2 linked regions of the Kluyveromyces lactis genome follow. The protein of the gene in region 2 interacts with the protein of the main gene of each other region in a pairwise test. Links are inferred from orthologs where the notes say so. Each region holds a gene or a part of one and is shown on either strand. Other genes may lie near its edges.

The links.
Region 1: the proteins of GID7 (region 2) and GID8 interact in binary tests that used the Saccharomyces cerevisiae proteins (3 or more experiments, as listed by UniProt). The link is inferred for Kluyveromyces lactis from reciprocal best matches to the Saccharomyces cerevisiae genes GID7 and GID8.

The regions. Positions count from the first base shown.
Region 1 is NC_006042.1:1,570,016-1,573,154, reverse strand, and holds GID8 (glucose-induced degradation complex subunit GID8), read right to left. Parts: upstream 1,866-3,139; coding exon 804-1,865; downstream 1-803. Other genes in the region: ERG29 (Erg29p), read left to right, coding at 1-714; GAT2 (Gat2p), read left to right, coding at 2,788-3,139. UniProt on the Saccharomyces cerevisiae protein: Component of the GID E3 ligase complex recruiting N termini and catalyzing ubiquitination of proteins targeted for degradation.
Region 2 is NC_006039.1:88,860-92,797, reverse strand, and holds GID7 (glucose-induced degradation complex subunit GID7), read right to left. Parts: upstream 2,821-3,938; coding exon 667-2,820; downstream 1-666. Other genes in the region: ATG22 (Atg22p), read left to right, coding at 1-674; KLLA0_C01155g (uncharacterized protein), read right to left, coding at 3,269-3,938.

The sequences.
Region 1 (3,139 bases), on a different chromosome or scaffold from region 2:
TTACGCGCGACGGTGCTGCGTCACTATTTGCAATTGGAAAGCATTATGATCGCTTGGATCAGAAAAGTAAACTTTCTTAAACAATACACTGATGACCCGCTAAGTGCCCGAATAACACTTTTTCTTGTGGTGATGGGAGGATTTGCTCTTGTGAATGAACTCTACATAACAATTCAAATGAGTGCCTTACAAATGGATACATGGGAACAATTGAACAGCACTAAATTGGACGAAGATTTTATTAGAAACCATCGATTCATACATGACGATTCGTACCATGCCACAGAATGGTTTGATGAAAAATCCGGTCTCATAATCGAGGAGTTCGAATCGAGGGAAAAGTTCTTTGCCAAACCTGTGCATGTCGCTCACATATACGTTAGATGCCAAGTTATCGACGAAGATACCAAAAAGCTTCTGTTGGATAATCCAATCACATTCCACATTGAATTCTCACCAGAAGAATTCGAAAATGAAAAAAGACCAGAGTTTGGTTGTACATTAAGGCTATTAAAATCAAAACTTTATCACTTCTTTAAAGATGGTCACTTTTATGATCAGTTCAAACAGCCAAGCAAAACCTTCACCATTACCAAAAATGTAAAAATCTACAACACCATGAGCGAGGAACTTCCAAAAAACCTCGACGATATTCAATTGTGTTTCTTAAAGATGGAAACTGGTGACACTATAGACTGTGAGTTTTTGGTGTGAAAATTGCAAGCTGCCGTTAAATGCTTGAAAACATAATGTGAATATAGGGAACCCATGCATATATAGTATAAAAGATTATAGATTTTGCACTAAATCACTCCTTCAACCCTCGGAACACCAACATCCGAACTATGCAATTGGTTTTCACACCAAACCCAAAGTTTCATGATTTGTACCAATCTAACGTCGTTAGGGATATAATAAGAATGCAAGTTCTCACCTAACTCTTCAAAGATTTCACCTTGTATGCGACTCATGTCGGAATTGGTGCTCATAGAACTTCCCTGCTTTTCTTCAATATGTGCTAGCTCTCCGGTAAGCCTTTCTGTCGTGATAGATTCCCTTGGAATGGATCGTATAACGTTTGTTAGAGTGGGAACTCGATTTGATTGGAAGCTGGATCCTAAGATGTCAGGTAAACCAGATTTTTCGAGTTGAGAGTTTATCCTCGGTAATATCGATTGCAAAAGCTTTCTGTTCACTAGATCAGCTACTTTAGTTCTCATATTTAAGGAATATAGCTGTTTCAACTTCTTTGGTAACTTAGCAGAAGGACTCGAACCATCCTCATCCGATAACGGGAAGAGAAGAAGGGTCATAACTAATTCGACTTCCTTCATATACTCTTTTTTGGAGCTTGCTTTCAAAGCAAGTTTATCCTGAGCATAAGAGATAAGCTCTAATATAAACTGCTCCTGATCGTTAGGGTCGCCCTTGGCGTTGTGGGAACGAATCATTTCAATAAGGTTCAACAACAATAGCTTGAAGTTCAAATCTTCATCTGTAATATGGTCATTCAAACTTTCGAGTACCTCTATTCCAAATACCTCGGTAATCTTTTCCATAGCTAGTAAAATTTCACCCTTCTTGATAAGTTCCTTGATGTATGCCCTTTTCTTAATCATATATACAGAGTTGAATTCTTCAATGTCTTTGTTGGAATTCAAAAACCCAAGCTCCTTAGCCATGCGGATACTAGATTCCTCATATGCCATCACCACAAAATAGTTCAATAATAACATTGGTATTACCGGCTCATTATTCGACAACTCACTGTTGCTGCGATCATAGGGATTGGCGTCCTGCACCACTTTCATCCATTGTTCTCTAGTGAAAGATTTCTTCTCATAGGTAGATTTAAAATTGGTCATCGTTTGTATGAAGCAATAAGTCTAGGGAAAACTAGATTGGCTTATGCTTAGCGCAAATAGTATAGTACCACTCTTTCTTTCAATATTAGGGGCTAAGGAAGTCTCACTTTCAACTTACAATTAGGTGCTCATTTTTTTGTTTTTCTGTTGATAATGCCCAGTTTCTTTACTAAGTGATGTTAAGGTTCATTTCGTGAAAAACCTTTGTGAATAAATAAGGGAACAGGCCTCTGACGACGAGGAAATGGGACAGATCAATTCTGAAAAGAAAAGGAGTTCATGTAGATATCAAATCGTGGTTTGTAGCTTCAGATAACAGTAATCGAGAAACTTCTCAATTTAAATCTTCTTGAATCTGGACTCTTTTTTTTGTATCTTTCAAGTAGAGGGAAACGATTCATGAGATGTCACTCATAGCAGCTATAGTCGACATTTTACGTAGTAATATACAAAACAGTAGACATATCGAGGGCATAACACAGATTTAAAAACTTTACAGTTTCAATATTCATTGGTTTAGGATCAATAATGAAATGGAGGAGGCAATCCAAGCCGTTTCTATATTCTAAATTGAAACTTACTTAGATTCTGATGACAAAAAAGTGTCAAATCAAATTAAGGAACTGAAATGATCTATACAAAAATGAAATGATATAAATATATGCGTACTTTTCCGAGTTCTTCGAACATCAAATAAGCCAGGTATTTAAGGCCAAGAGTAGATTCGAAACTAACAGAGAGGTAACTCGTTAGATTGCAATCTCATTATCATTCAATTGAAATAACAAAATAGAACCACAGAGCCAAACCAAATTTTTTTGCCAAGACACAGTCGATATCATTTTGAATAATATATTCGTTCAACATTGCTTATCACACATACACATAAATAGACATACGGCTAGTCAGTATAATTGTTATTATGACATTCATGGAAACTATGACAGCGTCGCTGGCACAAAAGGGGTCCCAAAGTCCCAAATCTGGTTCTATTTCATCATCTGCAACTCCTACATCGAGAACACCTCAATCATTATCCCAAAGTGTCAGCTACCATAGTGTTGCTTCCATCCCAAATCTATTGAACTACGACAGGCAGAACGATTCGAGTATTCGGACAAACAAGACGTCACAAACAAACATTACCGTTTCAACGACAGGAAATTTTCTTTCGTCGTCAAATTCGTCACCGCAAATTAGTCCTCGTCAAAGGGACTACCATTACGGTGGTCACTATAGAAGTGGATCCCTTGATTTTTTGGCTGACACTGCGA
Region 2 (3,938 bases):
GAAATTATATGGAATACGGCTGGAACTCATTGTGGGAGTCATTGAAGCACGCAAGATTGTTGAAAGACGTGGTAATCTTTCTCATTGGGTGGTTTATTATATCTGATTCTTTGACGACAATTAACTCTACTGCCATTTTGTTTGCCAAAACGGAGTTGAAGATGACAGCTATAAATCTAATTACTCTAAGTATCATAACGATGGTTATGGCAATGCTTGGTGCTGTCTACATACCCCATTTATTAAGCGAACGTTTGAGACTTCCCTTGCAGCAGGTTTTGATCATTATAATCATTTGGTCTAGTGTTATTCCATTGTATGGGATGACGGGATTTGTATTCCAAAACATTGGTTTGAAACACAAATTTGAGATGTATATCTTGGGAGTGTGGTATGGTGTGTCCTTGGGAGGCTTAGCTGCTGTGTCGCGTTCGTTATTCAGTTTGCTTGTACCACGTGGGAAAGAATCTACATTTTTCAGTCTTTTTAGTGTAACTGATAAAGGCTCCTCAATACTAGGACCACTGTTGATCGGCTTAATTACAGATAAAACTCATAATATTAGGTATGCATTTTACTTGTTATTCCTTTTTTTGGTGGTTTCACTACCAGTCTTCCACGGTTTGGACGTGGAAAGAGGAAAAAGAGAAGCTAGACAATTGTCTACTATGTAGCAGATACCCTCCATACTTTAACTAGACCATCATCACCGCCGGATGCAAACATTGTTTGATCTTGAGGATTCCATGCAACAATGTTACATATCTTTGATTGTGAACTTGTCGAATTTTCCGAATGGGCAGGTATTACACCAATGATATTACCATAGAACCTATCCCACAAATAAATCTTTCCATCCTCGGAACCACTTGCAATAAAATTTGAATAATAACCGAAACATGAACGTATTATGAAATTTGATTGGATTTGACCGATGTACCTTTGTATTAAAATATCTCTTTGATAGTCCCAAAGTTGTAGCTCTTGGTTTTGAATCGAGACTAGTAATAATGATGATAGTGATGGATCTGGAGAACATTGAGAAGTGTCTGGGAACTGCATTCCAGTCATTCTTTTACCGATCAATAATCGTCTCTTTCTGGGAGAAACGAACGTTGCATTCTCTTTAATGCAGTATTTCAACGTTGATATGTCAAACACATCAATGTACTTCTCATTATTCATCACAATCAAGTCATTATCATCAGATGAAATCTTGATATCATGAACATGAGGGAAGGACGACTTTAAATCTTCTCCCATAGTCATCGAAATTCTAGCGAAAATGGTAGCCGTTTTCATGTCATAAATTATTACATCAGAATCCGGAGAACCTAATACGATGAAGTCTTTCAATTCGGGATCATGGAACCAATCTCCACACCATAACCTCATAGTTTCAGCTGATGCTGGTGTATTATTAGATGAAATGGCAGATGAATCTGAAGTCGTGGGGAATGTAACAAATACGGATGCTACAGGTTTAAGCTGATCATATTCGCATAAATAGCCATCATATGTAGGGGGGGATAGCTGGTTTAGGTCATATATTTTTGCAGCGGAGTTGATTGAACATGCGATCAATTTCGTGTTGTCAGGGGAAAATTTAAGATATAAAACAGACTGACGAGTTTCACAACATATAGCATATATTTCGAAGTTATTTTTTACATCATAGATGATGATTTTCCTTTCGAATTTCTTTGAGGGGCTTGCACTGGCCAAAAATCTCCCATCTGACGAGAATTGTAAGAACCAGATTTCGTCATTGTTGCGATTCAATGTTTTGATGTTATCAAATTGAAACTGAGTTGATTTTGTAACATTATCCTGTAACAAATTATAGGTACTTGAAGCACTTCTTTTAGTACCAGTTGATGAATCCTCAATATGAAAGCTTAACAAATCTCTTGAACGTTGGTATTGAATTGCTTGTTTCAATAGTTGCATTAATCTACCACGAGGAACTAAATCATTAGGATTAATAAAGTGAGCGATGTGTTCAAATGTGGCCTCTCTGGTAACGAAAGGTGCAGCATTGGAGTTTTGACCACATACAATCAAGGTAGAAAGCTGCGATAATAAGTGTTCAGGTTGGAAAGAGGAAAAAGAGTTGGAATACATGACATCATTTCCTGTTTGCCACTGTATTTCTGAGTCATATTTCATTGTTTGCAGTGTTAGCAACGTATCCCAAATCGAGATCGTAGGTCTAATGACAAGCCTTAATAATTCCAAGGCCATTCGTCTATCTGACATCAAAATCTCAGAGAAAGCCAAAGTTTGAATTGCAACTAGCATTTCCACGCATATAGTTAACTTAACTATATCAACGTCCTTGAATTCGGACAGACGTTTCATCACGAAACCTAGTTTCTCATATTCAGCGAGAAAGTGGTCAATTATTGTGGTTGAAATGTTGCGTTTTGTTTGGGGTAATTCGACATGTGATAAGTCACCTGATAGTTCAAGGGACTCGAGAAATATGGGTAGCTGAAGCAATAGATCCAACGTACAGTGGTAAAACCTACCCTCTTTTATAGCAGAAAACAATGACTTCACATGAGTTGATTCGACCAATATCCCACCGCTCTCCTTTTGTAAGGTAATTGCAGTTTCTTCATATCCGATTTGTTTTAAAGCATCAATCAACAACTTTGTTAACTGCACTCGATCGAAAGGTTGATCTGATCCGTCAATGTCTAGATGTGACAAAGGCTTTTTGGTATATTTAGGAATGAACGAGTCATGGCTAGTAGGGACAGTGCTGACAGAAGCATTGCTCTGTGAAACGTCTGATCCTGCGGTTTGAACAGCCATAATTTTTAATTTCGACCAACCTATGAGTGATTTGTGATTAAAGAACCTGTTCTGTAAGCTTTGCTTGGTCAATGAGTTCTGTAAATGATTGTAGCAACTCTTTTATCTTCAACTATTCTTTCGTGAAGTAACCAGTGAGGGTTGGTTTAAATTTTATGAAATTGTCTTTTAAGGGATTTCTCGAAGAAGGGCAGTTGTAAATCAAAGGAAAAAAAAAGGTACGATACCAATAGATAAAGTAAGCTTACATAACAAAGTTATAAGAGAGTGAGTTGAATACATTAAACAGATTTCTGGCTACTGTAACTACATAAAAGTAAATGTGCGTTTGGTGCTCTGTAGCGAATGTATTGTTATTGTTTTTCATCCTTTAAAGTCATTCATAGACGTAACTGCATTATATGCGGAATTAAAACCAAATCAAAATGTTTAAAAAATGTCATTAAAATTAATAATTTGCATGCAAAGCACACAAAGCAGCGCCAACACCGGAACCATCCTTGGAGATACGTAGATGGACATCACGTTCACCCTCGGGGCCAATTGGAGAAAGTGCTAATGCATGTCTCATCATAGATCTGAATCCTGGATAGTGCTCAACGACACTACCGTCACAACCAACCTCTACTTGGCAGTGATAACTCTGGTTCAAAGCGTTGGTTTTGATCAAAATTGCAGCAATTGGCACTGCGGCTAAGAATGCAGCTCTCCTGGAAATAGCTCTTACCAATTTTTGGATCAAGACACGTTCTTCGAAGGTGGTCTCCAAGTCAGCAGCCTTTAAAAGAGCATCCCTTGTGTCCTGTAAGTCGTTCTCAACGGTATCAATTTCGATATGTGATAAAGTTTCTGTGGTTAAAATAAAGGGATTGTTCTTTAAAACAGATTCCTTCAAGTCGAATAACTCTTGTTTTTCAAGGTCTAGTAGTATGTTACGAAGTATTTCACCCAAATAAAGACCACTGACCCTTTTTTCAAACAAGTGGAACCCGGGATTGGTGGAGAACTGCTGATCAATCTTAATATCATAACTTGTAGTAGGCAAATGATTTAGTTCATTATCAAAAGAGCCCCATTCGGTATTGATGCACATATGGGTCTTCCCCTGAGACAGAAGT